Xenopus tropicalis: one gene and its partner. The protein of the gene in region 1 purifies or fractionates together with the protein of each later gene. This does not show direct contact. Links are inferred from orthologs where the notes say so. Each region holds a gene or a part of one and is shown on either strand. Other genes may lie near its edges.

What was found. Proteins that work in one complex are often made in the same cells at the same time.
Region 2: the proteins of ift81 (region 1) and ift74 purify together in Homo sapiens (affinity purification with mass spectrometry; 3 studies listed by BioGRID and IntAct, counting the BioPlex papers as one, with this or other methods). This does not show direct contact. The link is inferred for Xenopus tropicalis from reciprocal best matches to the Homo sapiens genes IFT81 and IFT74.

Annotation. Positions count from the first base shown.
Region 1 is NC_030677.2:162,599,852-162,607,335, reverse strand, and holds part of ift81 (intraflagellar transport protein 81 homolog), read right to left. Parts: intron 6,246-7,484; coding exon 6,096-6,245; intron 3,883-6,095; coding exon 3,754-3,882; intron 2,704-3,753; coding exon 2,614-2,703; intron 628-2,613; coding exon 541-627; intron 1-540. UniProt on the Homo sapiens protein: Component of the intraflagellar transport (IFT) complex B: together with IFT74, forms a tubulin-binding module that specifically mediates transport of tubulin within the cilium. Binds tubulin via its CH (calponin-homology)-like region.
Region 2 is NC_030677.2:122,251,297-122,259,254, reverse strand, and holds the start of ift74 (intraflagellar transport protein 74 homolog), read right to left. Parts: upstream 4,924-7,958; 5' UTR 4,898-4,923; intron 4,515-4,897; exon of another isoform or gene 4,424-4,514; coding exon of another isoform or gene 4,421-4,423; intron 3,861-4,420; coding exon of another isoform or gene 3,849-3,860; coding exon 3,726-3,848; intron 3,180-3,725; coding exon 3,041-3,179; intron 2,802-3,040; coding exon 2,753-2,801; intron 913-2,752; coding exon 814-912; intron 1-813. Other genes in the region: plaa (phospholipase A-2-activating protein), read left to right, coding at 5,384-5,550. UniProt on the Homo sapiens protein: Component of the intraflagellar transport (IFT) complex B: together with IFT81, forms a tubulin-binding module that specifically mediates transport of tubulin within the cilium. Binds beta-tubulin via its basic region. Required for ciliogenesis.

The sequences.
Region 1 (7,484 bases):
GATCCCCCTTAACCCTATGGCTACTAAAACCCTTGTGTATATATATTCATCCTATCTATCTTGGCCATACCATCCCTCTATTGGCTGACCTTTATTTTTCCTAAGCATGAACAAACTCCTTTTACATCCTAATGCATTCCATGTCTGTTAAGCAGAAAACAGTTTGAACATGTTGATTAATTCCCCCCAGTATTGTAATCTATTGCACCCATTATCTATCTTTCCATTCACTGGGTTGACTGTAAGCAACTTGGCAAAAGGACATCTTGCTCCCTCTCTCTTGATTCCTAGCATTAAATTAATGTTTTTGCAATGTGTTAGCTCTTGCTTATATGAATTAACACAGAGCATTGTCTTTTGCTTTACAGTTCACATAAAGAAAATAAATGAAGGATAATGTCTACCAGTAAAGTATATTTTCCTATTCATCACAAAATAAGAGGCTGTACTATCACTTCAGAATTTTTGAAAATGATAAGGCTAACTTGAATGCTAAGAATTTGCCCCAGTGAAAAATGATTCATTTTGCCTAGTTTATACCTGCTCTGATTTTGATCGGTTACTCTCTAGGCCGGCAGCACAGCTGTCATATTGAGCTTTCTTGTCATCGTGTTCTTGAGTCAGTTCCTAATGAAAAACAAGCAGAGGTTTGTTTCAAACAGAAGGCTGGTTAAAAGAAATACAAATTTTTGCATTCTGCAGCTTTACTCCTTTAACCTAGACTGAAAATTTTGCTCTGAGAGGAGGTTTTGACCTGTGTACAGGCAGTGATTTTTACAAAATATTAATCCCCATTTGATTAAAGCATTTAACTGATTTTGTAATAAACAAGCCTATAGCATATTTGTATAACATATTTTTGCTCAAAATAGACTGCTCCAACTCCAAGTATATGATTCTAAAAGAGGAAGATTCAAAAGTACTCAACCAATGAGACTCGACCTATCAGATCCTTAGCCATACGTCACTGAACATAAATGATTCATTTATTCATGGTTTTCATGCTTTGTTTTGTTTTTGCTTGATTTTGACTACAAATGGTATTTTTAACACGGGTCAAACTTTTCTCGCAATAATAATTTTTTTTTAAAATAGTTCAAGATTTTTTAGTGCTTTTTCCCCACCTGTGAGATTGTTTTCAAATCAAATACCCTATTTGTCCTATTTGCGTAAGCATTTTTTAATATAGTTTTATTTACAAGAATTTTTTTTACAGCAGAATTGTTGAAAGTATAAAATATGGCCCCAGTAGAGCCAAGTAAAAAAAAAAATCTGGACTTCTGAACTGTTTTCACATGAGAAAAAACTGTCACCTATAATAGTAAAAGTCCAAAAATAAAAAAGAAGGTTTTACTACATCTTGTCTACTTTCACTCAAGGCCACAGCCATCAAATTCAATTTAATAAAAAAAAAACTGAAAATAAAATGGCTGCAATCACATTTCTGCGGCTACTACACTGCGGCTGTGCAAAAGCATCTCCCCTACATCAGAATCGTGTAGAGCAGGGCTGTCCAACTGGCGTCCCTCCTCTGTGTGGCCCCCCACCTGTCTGGCTGCTTTGATGGCTTACCTTTGAGTAAGCTTTAAATGGTATCAGTACTGAGATTAACTGGCTCCCTGCATGGTTCTCACCTCAGATTCAGGCTGTAATCCACCTGTATTGTTTAAAAATGTAATCCCCTGTACTATTCACACCTTTTAGTTTCTGCATTGTTTACCCCCTGCAGTGTTCACACCTCAGACTCAGGCTGTAATCAACCACATTGTTCACCTGTTCACACCTCAGACATTGTAGGTACTGCCTGGTCTATGCTGCCTGTCTGCCAGCGAGCACGTTACATGTCACATCTTCAGATGAATAGAGTCGGCAGGACGGCCAGCGAAAGCGTTACATGTCACATCTTCAGATGAATAGAGTCGGCAGGACTAGCAGGCTGCAGGGTACTTTTACCCCCCCCGTGGACGGACGTATGTCTGTGTCGCACGCGCATGCACTCACCTCCAGCCACGGGGGCGGGGGGGTTGGGTGCGAGCGCCTTATATCTTCAGATCAAGATCGGCAGGACGGACATAAGTGGAGGGAGGTATACTCGAGTATAAGCCGAGGGTTACTTTTTGAGCACATTTTTAGTGCTGAAAAAATCGGCTTGTACTCGAGTATATACGGTATGCTGTTCAGTTCTGGTCTCCAGTGCTAAAACGGGACATGATTGAGTTATTGAGGGTCCAGAGAAGGGCAACTAAGTTGGTAAAGGGTATGGAAAGTCTCAGTTATGAAGAAAGACTGGCCAAGTTGGGTCTGTTTACACTGGAGAAAAGGCGCTTAAGCGGTGACATGATAACTATGTATAAATATATAAGGGGATCATATAAAAACTAGAAGTTAGACAGGTTATATATAGGCATTATGGTTGAACGTGATGGACGTACGTCAACCTAACTTACTATGTAATTATAAAATTAGAATTGTTTGCTTATAATGCAGTCTATGGGAGATGGTCTTTCCGTAATTCGGAACTTTCTGGATAATGGATCCCATACCTGTATACATTCTGAGAACAAACATGTAACTATATACTTATTAGAGGGTATTTACAGTCTTTTCACAGACCTGGCATCTCTGACGTAATGGTCTCAACTCTTTAATAACTGGAGCCAGTCCTGACTTTTTCTCTGCTATCCTGGAATTCAATTTCTTTACCTGTCAGAAAACAAATAAATAGGAAACTTAAAGCAGTTATTACTGAAACAAGGTCTCCTCGATCTATGCTTGTCTTGCTGTAGTCAGATCATTTTTACTGTGTCTTCGTCTGCTGACTATATAGCTGAAGGGTTCTCAGTTGTAAATTGTAATTTTTGTATTATACCATTGTATATGTCCAATTTTATATTAACTGCAGAAAGTCTAATCATTTACCTATTGCTTTATATTCGCCTAGCATCTATAAAAGATTTACTGAGGCTGCTTGCAGTTTTGGTTTTCAGACCATCAGCTCAAGTCACATGCCACGTTACCATTATATTACTATATTTTCTTTACAATGACCAAGTGAGGTGTATAGTCCAGCAGGGGGCTAGTTGCAGCCTGAAATGCTTGGAAATGGAATAATAATAATAATGAAGGGGTTGTTGAGCTTTAAATTAACTTTGTAGACAGAGATATTCTGAGACAATTTGCAAATGATTTTCATTTTTTACTATTTGCAGTAATTTAATTATTTAGATTTTTGTTCAGCAGCTCTCCAGTTTGGAACTTCAGCAGGCTTTTTGGTTGCTAGGGTCCAATTTAAACTAGCAACCAGGCAATCATTTGAAAGAGAGACAAGAATATCAATAAAGGAGGGCCTAAATAAAAAAAGTAAGTAATAAAGAGTAACAACAACAATAAAATTGTAGCCTCACAGAGGAAAAGAGTTTTAGCTGCTGGGATCAGTGACCCCTATTTGAAAGCTGGAAAGAATGAGAAGAGGAAGGCAAATAATTCAAAAACTAATAAATGAAAACCAATTGGAAAGTCTCTAAGAATAGGCCATTCTATAACATACTAAAAGTTAACCTGAAAGTGAACCACCCCTTTAACACAACTGGTAAATACAGAGATGCCACGTTTCTAAAAACATGTTAGTTTCCTGTAATGTTATCTCTTTGTGTGTATGAAGCATAACATTCGATTCTATGGTGCAGTTATTAGCCATAAAACACATGTGTAAGTAGGAAATATAACACATATATTCATGTATTGCAAAATCACCATATCAGAAATGTCATCCAGAGTCCTTCCTTTCATTTCATCCACTTCACTCTTCAACGCTGACACCCTCTCCAATTCCTCCTGCGTGTCACTGTACCCAAGAATACCTTTTTTCTGTTCAATTGCTTGCTGCAAGAAACAAAATACATTCAGAAATCCAGTTTTTGTTAAGTAAATTACATTGAATTTGATTTTTTTCCACCTAAAAGAGAAATGAAACAAATCCCTAATTTCCAAAGAGATGAAATGGATGGAAGGACAGATCATAGTATTCAATCTAACAGTGTAGTTTGGTGTTAAAGGTTTGCTAGATTTGGGTAGTAAAACTAATTTAAAATGGTAAACACAAAAGCTGTAAGTTATTAAACTGTAGAATTTCTGCTTATTTTGTTTGGCTTTACCAAGCAATAACTTCTGACTAATAGTGATGGCCAGGTGTGGATTTGCGAGATTTTTTTTTGCCATCTAAGAATGACCCGCACAACATTTTTGCCATTTCACAAATTTTTCACCATTTTGCGAATCTTTTGAAATATTTGCGAATTATTCAGCGACGAGGGACAAATCCGCTCATCACTTCTGACTGTCTTGCAAACTTCATTTGGAGCAACATCATTAAGAATTGTCACCTTAAAGGAACAGTAACATCAAAAAATTAAAGTGTTTTAAAGTAATTAAAATATAATGTGCTGTTGCTCTGCAAAAAAATTGTGTTTTTGCTACAGAAAAGCTACTGTATATATAAGCTGCTGTTTAGCCATGGGGGCAGCCATTTAAGCTGGAAAAAAGGAGAAAAGGCACAGGTTACATAGCAGATAACTAGTAGATAAGCCCCATATAATGGGGGTTTATCTGTTATTTGCTAAGTAACCTGTGCCTTTTCCCCTTTGAATGGCTGCCCCCATGGCTACACCAGCTTACTTATATAAACTATAGTAGTCTTTCTAAGGCAAACACACCAGTTGTAGCAATACAGGGCAACAGTACATTATATTGTAATTACTTTTATACACTTTCATTTTTTGGTGTTACTGTTCCTTTAATAATAAACCATCTTTTTCTATACAAAAATAAAAAAACTGCAGTCTCAAGAAAATAGCCACAGCCCTTTTCAAAGTTTCTAATCTCAAGAAATATTAAAGGATGTTCCATTTATGGGATTTCTAAACCTAGCACAGTTACTATTCATATTTGCCTGCAGCTCAGACTGGTTGGCAGCTACTGCTGCTCTGTCTTATAGCCAAGAGTTACATTGCAGGTATTCAAATATATATTGCACTGCAGAATTAAAAGTGGGAGTTCCTCTGGGAGTCTGATATGGGATCAGTTATCTGAAAACCTGTTATCCAGACAGTTCTGAATTAAGAGAAGGCCATCTCCCATTTCCTTTTTCTCTGTAATAATGAAATAGTACCTTCTACTTGATTCCAACTAAGATATTAATCCTTACTGGAGGCAGAACACTTCTACTGGGGTTATTTAATGTTTAAATTCTTTTTTAATAGACTTACAGTATGGAGATCCAAATTACAGAAAGACCCCTTATCCAGGAAACCCCAGGTCCTGAGCATTCTGGATAATTGGTCCTATACCTGTAGTTGGAACCCTGTGCATGCTTTTCTAAAGTCACCCAACTGAAGTGCTTTGTTAACCTCACTTTATTTTATTTTTATATTTTGAGGATCAGGATATAGAAAAATAATTTGGTAACAGCTGTAAACTATGCACCAAATAACCGAAAAATAACCTAAATACATAGTGTAGAGGGGCATAAAATTGCAGGTTGTTTTACAGCACTTAATATGATTGGGAATTTCATGTAGTACAGTGCGGTATTCTAAGAGGTGTTTGGCTTCTTTTCAACTTTTGAGTGCCGTACTTTGTCTTATCCGCTCCAAAAGCTACTGCACAACCAATTTCTATGTAAAACACTTTGGCTTTTTATCACACTGCAAAGAGCCCATTTCACTATTAATCCCATCTCTCTAAAATAACACAATTTCATGGCTACAATAAAGCCAAGTGGTGCCTTGCTGCCATAGAAAGAAGTAACATGAAAACTCCATCTGTATTTTCCTCACTGACTTAATGTAATGAACATAATATGTAATCCCAAAGACTAACTACCATTACTAGTAAGTGAAAGTTCTTCAGCATTTTAATTATATATATGTATATATATATATATATATATATATAATAAAGCCTGACATTTCATTTTTCCTTTTTTATGGATCTGCTTTCATGTACAGAAATTCAGTAGCTTCCCCAGAGAGACACATCTGCACTCCATTCCTTGAGAGTAAACAGATGATTATTTAAGGCACAGAGTTTGTCATTACCAGCTGTTGCTGTATATTCTCATGTCGTTGTTTCAAGATCTCCTCTGTCCTCTGCAAGACGCCATTCTCAGCACTAAGTTCTGCCAGCTCCTGTCGTTTTTTCTTATAGACTGAGCTTTTGAATCTCAATTTGCTGACATAATGTTTAAACTGAAAGAACAGGAAAAAAACAGCTTTAAGTGGGACATGCTAATTTCTACTCAGTGCAAACCAAGCCGACATTTATTATGGTTGTTTTGAAACGGTACTTACATTCGGTAACAATATTCTATGCCAACATAAACAAGACAGATCATTTTCTGTACCTAGCATGACCAAGAATTTCATATATTCTTAATATTCTTAATATAGTAGCCAACTGCATACCCATATTTAGACAGGTCTAGATGTAAGCTATGTAGGCCTTTACATACTTATTTTTGGAAGTCTTTTTTAGGATGAGCAAATATTCCAGTAACTCATACAACAAAATGCACTGGAACAAAACAGGTCAGAATGTCTTTATACGGTTGTATTGTGCAGCTTGGTGACCCAATAGCACTGCTAATCGGTAACCCATTGGATGTTGTAGTGCTCCCTAAGTTCCTAAAGTAAGCATTTGAGGTCCATCCAGGAAAAGGTACAAGCAGGTTCCTGTAAACATGTATTTACTGATGGGTGCATTTATGTGCCACGTGCCGAAATACAAAAAGTAGATTAGCAAATTAAGTAAATGTGTTGCACCTCCTAAAATATGAGTTGTTCCCTGGGTATATTTCTGCCGGTAGAAAACTCCCTGTCACCAATCCTGCTGTGTTGAATCTTTGTCACAGAATTATATTACATATAAGGGATCCCTTATCTAGAACCCCATTAGCCAGAAAGTTTTAATTTATGTGAAAGTTATGTCCCATAGTGCCCATTTGAAACAAAAACTTCTAATTTTTAAAAATGATTTCCTTTTCTCTGTAATAATAACACAGTACCTTATACTTGATAGTAACAAAGCTGCATGAATCCATATTTGGGGCCATTACCATCCTATTGGGTTTATTTAATGTTAAAATGATTTTGAGCAGACTAAGTATGTTGATCAAAATTATGGAAAGACCCCTGATCTGGAAAACCAACAGGTCCCACACATTCTGAATAATAGATCCACTACCTGTTTAAGTTACATATGTCATATAAAGAATACTACAGTTCCCAGGCTTTCTCTGCTATATGTTGGTAAGCAATTTCTTGTGTGTGATGCAAGTGATTGCTTATTGGTTCTGGTTCCATTCAGACCCCTGTTTCCCGTTTCTGTGTTTGTTCTTCTCACTCTCTCATGTTCCTGCACTGAGGTGAATAATAGTTTCCTATGTGTATTTCTTATAAATTAAACTTATCAGCATAAAAGGATTGTGT
Region 2 (7,958 bases), about 40 Mb from region 1:
GCCCAATGTTAGTAAAGTTACTCAATTTATACAGAGAATACATCTTTTTCATTAAATGAAAACTTGTATTGGGGATAGGAGCAGCACTCTGCATACTGTAAAAATATTGCAAAGTGAAGGAAGGTTTATGACCCTTTCTGCAACTGTACCACAAATGTTAATATCATTGTCTCCTTCCTAGAAGGTAAGAATATAATTTTATATATCTTAATTAATAGGGGCAAGGTCTGCTGGTGTTGTAGATATCTGCAGATAAAGTGGCCTGGGTGTCCTGTTTAAGTGGGAATACAAGATGCTTACCCCAGTTACTTAACCTTGAGTCCCTAAAATTCTGGGTCACTATATCTAAAACAGCTCTAAGGTATTCCAAATAAAGAAGAAAATCATCTATGTAGACGGACATCCTCTCTTCTGTTGTATGAACTTTCAATCCCTGTACCCTCTGTAACTGGTGAATTGGAGCTTCACCGAGGTTGTGATTTCCCTAACTGGTGGCCCGGTACAGATTGAAAGGGGAAGCGGGATGGAAATCAACTCGGATTCATTTGTGGGTGGTTGTAGCGATGCTGAAAGGCCAATACTCTCAGTGACATGTTCATGTAAATGGGATTTTTTAAGAGCCTTGTGGAATTAGTTCCCAGAATCCCATTTGTCTATTTACATACGTTTGAGGCAGTTTTCTCAACCCTTTTGATTTGTTTGACAATATTTAACAAATTATACTTTAAATGTGTTTGCAGTTCAACTGAAGCACTGATGACTGCTTTAAAAGCCATATTTCATTTTTACAGTAAAAAAAAGTAGGCAACTTGCCTTTTCTCATAAGACAGGTAGACAGAGTTCTCCTGGTTATAGGTGTCAATCTCTTTTTTCAGTTTGGTCATTTCTGTGGTAAGCTCGCTGACTTTACTCCTGTTAATAAAAGACATCATATTTTGATACATCAGCATGAAATTCACACATGAAATATAATACCATCTTGAACATCAGAATATATTGATACATGTTATGATATTTTTTAGTTGGAGAAACTATTTTATAATATACATATTTTCAGTTATTAACATGTTTATTATTCAGGGTACCTGTATTTTATATCAATCTTTTTTGCTTTGAGCAGCTGAATCCAAATTTTTTTAATGGGATGCTATAGTTGAGGGGCAGTGCTAGATTACTACTTAATTGATTTGTCAATTCTTTGTTAATTAGTATTAATGTCATGCAAGTCTAAGGGGGAAATTTGTAAAAATCCTTTTCATTTTACTACATATGAATGGTAACAGGTAAAGATATGTCAATATGAAAGTATTAGTAATTTGTTTTTCAGGAATAACCACTGATTCTCAGTATGTGCACATCTACCAGTCAGACCCTAATTTTTTAGGCAATTATAAATAATATATGGTGCTAGTTTCACTTTGTGCTAAAAATGAATCCTATCTGTAAAAATGGCCCCTTTATTGGAGCTCCCTATAGAGCCTATCAGTTCTCTGTCCGTGTTTGAAATAAAGGGTGGGCGTGTTCTAACGGTCCCAGCCATAAGCACTGTAGGAGGTGTGGTAGAGTGACCCAACAAATGAGAGAAAAGGTGAGCTTTCCCTTCAAGTTCTCCATAGTGGGAGATGTAACCTTTAGGAGAGAGGTTGATAAACAGAGAAGGTTTGCTCTGTTTAAAAGGTTGTGCTGTCTGGCCCTGGAAGCTATAGGGTTCAGGAAGGAACAAGCGGATCAAGCGATCCATTCCAGTAGTCCAGCTCACCTATTGGAGCATACTTTCCACAGGAAGGCTGTCCTGTGGAAAAGGTATTTAATGGTATAGAAAGGTGTGAGACAGTCTCTCAGAGCAGGGCACAGAGCAGGAAGGATACCTCTCTGTGTTAGGACTCCCAGAGGGGCTGGGGGTGCTGCCTGCCACTGCCAGAAGCAGAGGGAGCCCAGACTTGAGAAAGCTGCCAAGAGACTGAGGGTCTAAGGAGCTGAAAGGAAAGCCAGGAGGCTGAGCTAATCCCCCAGAAGTGTTGTGAGTACAGGGGTGACCCCAACATTTGTGGTTTCTTACTGGTAGTCCAAAAGGGACCCAGGTTAGTGAGGGAACTAATGTAATGTGTGAAGGTAGTGCCCAGAGCGCAGGATTTATTTTTATGATTTGTTTTGTATGCTGAAATGGGCACCCCTGTGTAAATAAACTGCCTTAAAGCCGAGAAAGTGTCTGTCCTGGATCCCGCTAGTTTACAGAGGGGAAGAGCCACTCACAGCCTTGCACAATCCTTCTATATCTAGAGAAGTATAATTCACTGGTACATTCATAATTTTTATAGGATATGTCTCCTTAAACTAAATGCATGTGGTGAAGTAAGAATGAGGGACACTACACCAGCAAGAGTTGGACAAGTAAAGAAGCACAGCATAAAACACACTGGACAAGTCAAGATTTCATATGTAGGAGCATCCTAAATCCAGTGGGATCCTAAGCTGTGCACCTATGCATCATTGCACAAATTACAAGTTGTAGTTATGCATAGATCCGCTACAAAAATAGTGTGTTCAAGTGGGCTTCTTGTTCCTTTTACATGCTGACCTATGCTACCTTCTCCTGGAACCTGTTGGAAATGCAAACATAGCACTGCAATCGTTCAGATACAATTGTTATGGATGCAAATTTTTTTTTGAGGCAAATGGAAAAATCAGGACTTTCACCTAAAAATATTTAAATGTTTAAAAACTAAAGCAATTTTTTTCTTAGTCAATTTACCTTAGGAGTCCCAGAAAGTAAGACTTGTCCATAATCTGTCTCTGGGGACCTGAGAAACAAAATTAAGCTTTAAATTAAATAGAAAACTTGCATACTTGCAACAGGCATACAATTTCATATAGGCATTATTTTTCCTATTGCCTGCAAGCACCAGTGTATTTTTTGGAGATGTTTATTGTTTGAAAAATTGTGATTGTAAAAAAAAAAAAAAATCAATACATCTGCATACACGAAAATGAATTCACCTGCACCTTAGTAATTGTTCACTTTTTGTGAACAGGCACCTACCTTTCATTGCAGTTTTCATTCCACTCAGACCCTGCTGGGTGACTGGTCTGTCTGCTACTTTTATCTGTGCTGACAGAACTCCTCCAGTGCCCATGGGAACAACACCTCTAGTTCCAGGTCGTGCACTGCCAGGTATCATCTTCAAAAAAAAAATCTGATTTCTGAACCTTGAATGTATATAGCTTTAGCATTTAAACTGCAGTACTGTTCTTACTTTTCTGCAATAAAATAATAATCAGATTTTGATTGACAGATAATTAAAAGACAGCTAGCTCTAATACATTGCAGGCAAATGGAACACAATCAAGATGAAGTATTAAAGCTGTCAATCAAAATCTGACTTTAATTTCTACTTGAATAAAGACATATTGCTAAGGGGAATACTGGAGAGCAACTTAATTATTTCCATGAGATGAAGCTGATATTAAATTTTGATTTTTATAATAGGTCCTCTTTAAGAAAGCTAGCATTAATGTTTAAAGGTTTTTTAGTAGCTTAAGGCATGGACATCCACATTACAGAAAAATGGAAAAAACAAGGTCCCAAGATAATAAAAACCTGTTGTACAAATGTATGTATACAACAACAATTATGGCATATACAGTGGTTAACCTTTAAAAGCAAATTTACATTTTTTTTTCCCTTTTAACATTCAATTATATAAACAGATTTTTAAATTACTTACAGCTGTTGTCAGCCTGCTTGCAGTAGGAGGTGGTCGCATTCCACTTGGTGGTCTGTTTTGTAAGGGACCAATGCCTCCTCTTGTGCTAGGTCGAGCTGATGGTGGTCTTTGATTGTTAGCCATGTTTATTGTTGACTGTGAAGATTAAATAAAATTAAGCAAAGGATTTTAAGGGCAAGTACAGTGATTGCAGCTCAGCTTGTACTGAGGTAAGTTTAAACAAATACTTCATAGCAACTGTAGACAAATAAAAAAAAAAATGTATAAAGGTAATACAATATCACCATTGTGGTTACCATAGATAAAAATGTCAGGGTGGGTGCCAGTGCTGTAGAAACCTACATCCTCAAATCATACAAAGTTCAACACAAGCACAGCATTTCCTTTGTGCTTTCCATTATTACTTTTATTGTCATATTCACGTCAGGTTAGACAACTCTCATACTAGCTAATATATAAATAAGTACTCTTCTTCCCTATGCCCTGACATAAATCCTGTACTAAAAAGGTGTTTAAGATTTTTAAATTTGTGAATGCGACTGGACAAAAATATACTTTGCAACTTGTAACTTCGTTGCAAGTTTGCCACTTTGTAAAGCATGCCTCCACGACAAATCTAAAATATCTATAGTAAAATCAGGAATCCTGCCAGATTATTTCTAGACTAGATGCAATGGAAGTTAGTGTATACTAACCATTCCACAAAGAAAACTAACAACTTTATGCTACACAATACGACTCATATTAATAAATAAATAGGTGGAAGGTTTGCTACAGGTCTAGTCACCTGAAGTGACCAGTTAGCAGGTACTATTTACTGCTCATCTTTATGGTTGCTATGGGTTACTGCAAACTTTGTGCCTTTTATTACACTCCCCCTTAACTTTTCTTTTGGATGGTTCTACTTCTCAATCCTGTTTCAGGTATTGTGAGCTGCATTTCAGTATCACCCGGACAAACAGTGAACACAGATCCCTACAATTGCTACTGCCTACACAAAATTAAATACGACTGGCTTTATTTGCTGTACAGAACAGAATATTTTCTCAAAATTGTTTCCAAACTGTTTAAAGAAAATTATAATCTTTAAACGCGTTAGTCCTAATAACCCCACACGTTAATTACAGGTAAATAAAGCAACACAATTATTTAAACACTATAAATATACATACAGCATAAATCGCTTTCCCAGCTTCTGCCTGAACCTCGGTTGCTTAGCAACTCAATCACGTGATTTACGCTATCCGGCGAACAACGTTCTACGAATGGGAAAAGTATCGTGAGAGAATGAATCAGGCGTGTCCGTAATGACGTAATCAAGAAGGGCTGTGGTTCCTCACAGCTTGTTGGCTGGCAAGCATGATGTATATATACTGATGGTGCAGGTGCTTCTGTACATAGGTAGCCTGCGTGTCGGCTTACCTTAATCGCTCCCATAAATATATCTTAGATCATAGTTCGAGACAAGGATTAGTATGCGTTTGTAAACACGACTATGTGTAAAGAATGACCAGTCCCGATACCATTATGTGTTTTAACTGACTGCTGGCTACCTGAGGTCTTGGGGAGGGCGCAATGCCGTCACTTCCTCCGGTGCCCAGTATTCAGAGTCCCGTCTCATCACTTCCGGCTGTGCTGGTGCAGCAGGCTGCTGTGTCATGTCTCAGGCAGGAAGAGATGGCGGTGACAACTGTTACCGGCTGCGCTGCTCCCTCCTGGGGCACGAATTGGATGTGCGGGGAGTGGCGCGCTGCCCCCTTTGGCCGGGCGAGGGGTTCGTGTCCGTGTCACGTGACAGGAGCGCACGCCTCTGGGTACCAGACAGGTGAGAGAGCGTCTCAATCAAACTATTACCTAGTTGTGGGGGTGGGGGTTAATATGCCGGATTATAGTAATACTGTATATTCTCAGCATCTACTGACTCATTGTTCGCCCCGTGTTTTCAGAACATCATCAGATGAATTTCAAGCCAAAATTATGCAGCCATAAGATTACATCTCAGCTTGTATAAATAACGCAGCAAGGACGTCCCAGAGATACTGACTGACCTAGACTAGACTCAGGGATGTTCTTATGCTACACCTCCTTTTTGATCACCAGTGTAATGGGACCAATAAAGCGTTCTATTGTCAGGTACCCTAGGTACCTAGGATTGACCTCAGCCAGGGTGACCCTTCACCAATATTTCTCATTGCTTATCCTTTACTTTCTATATCATTTCTTCTCTGCTTTCATCATTTTAATTGCCTTTTAAAATATATTTTGCCTATTATTTTTCATGTGTGCTTCTCCGTATCAGTATTATTCTCTATTCCCTTTATTCTTTCTTTTATTCTCATTATGTTCTGTCAGGGAAGATAAACAGTAACCTCCTAAGATATTATTTAGTTAGCATTGCCTTCCAAATTGTTTTTGTCACAACCAAAGCAAAACTAAACCATGCAACATGGTTAGCATAGGTATTGGTATCTATCTCTTCAACCTGCACTAATATCTTATTAATATGATGGGAATATTTTAAAAACAACATTTTCCGGATCTGGCATTGGGGCCAATGGGGTTAAATTCTTGTGTACATTGTATTGGGGCCAATGGGTTTAAATTCTTGTGTACATTGTAGTATGTGGTATTAACCCGTAAAAGAAAGGGGTAGTATTAACCCATTAAGGAAAACTAAATGCTTATGAAACATAGTAAGTAGAAAGTAAGTTATATTTCATAAAAATTGTCTTTTTAATGTAACCATGTCACTGCCAGATTACTGACATTGTGCTGTGCAAGGTGACCACTGATTCGAAAATAAAAAATAATAGTGTATACTGCACTAGATACTATGTAACAAATACATAGTGTTCTGAAAAAGAAATTAAAAAAGTTAACTGACGGTACTTCAACGGCAACAGGGAAGATTATTTAGTTCACTACATGGCTTTATACAAACTAGTGCATATGCAGTAAAGCCAGTAAATAAAAGCAAGGCAATCACAGCATGTGCAGTGCCATCCTATAATAATCATTTGTAGCTCAAACCTTTTTTTTGGATTTTCTTTTTGAACTCTGACACAGTTAACTAGTAAGAACAACAGGACCAAATTTAGTGCAGTTAGCTAAACCTGACAAAGCAAATGGAATCATAAGAAAGGGTCAATAGTTCCCATTTAATAGGTATGACCTTTAGAGCAGTGAGCGTGAAAAACAAGCATCTGGTGGGTATATGTCAATGTGTATGCTTACATATATTAAAACTCAGCATCAATGTTGTTGAAGGCATACTTTGGTTTTTATGCACTAATCATAAACTGTATACAGGTGTGTGTGTGTGTGTGTATATATATATATATATATATATATATATATATATATATATATATATATATATATACTTGCTATACTTTGGCGCTACAGGAGTCCTGAGCCCCTGCTTACTATGGGGGTAACAGGGAGTCTTCACTCTTATTGGCGTGCCTCCACCCAGGGGTAATGCTGTGGGACTATAACTCCCACCCTGGGAACTTGATATTACACTGCAACCTTTCTCAGGGACTCCACACAACTCCCGGCACCTTGCCCCTCCCATGGGGTAGTTGCTTACCGGCAAGTAGGTGATCCCTGGTGCAGGAAAGAGCCAGATACACAAGATGTGATGAACCAGATGAGTGTTTTTATTTGGGTAGAACCTCTCCAGGAGTGGCATACATTCGTCAGGGCATATACTCCTTAGCTTCACCTTAAGAGAACCTCTCTCCTGTTGTCCAAGTGATCCCATTTAGGTGCTCCCCCGGGACTCTCGCAGAGAGACCTTCTCTTAGGGCTCTCCCCGGTACTCTCGCCAGGCTGACCCACCTCCAGGACTCACCCCGGTACTCACGCCTAGGTACCCTCAGATTAGGAATCTGCCTCTAGTGGTGGCTTGATCCACCTACCTAGACACTTTGGGCCCTGCTCTCCAGCAGATGTATTGCTGGGGGTCTTAACCCCACCACCACTCCTGGAGGGGCAATATCCACCCATTCTAACTTACTGACCTACATGTCACTCCTGGAGCGACCTATCACAGAACTAACTATCTACTTACTGATCCTGTTAGACTCCTCTACCCAGAGGCAGTCCCAGGACTAAGACCCGACAGCACATGGCTGCATCCCCTTTTATAACCTTACACACCACCCTGTGGCTGTAACCCGAACTGCAGGGATACTCCCTGTTAAGTACTGACATCCCAGACCATACCAA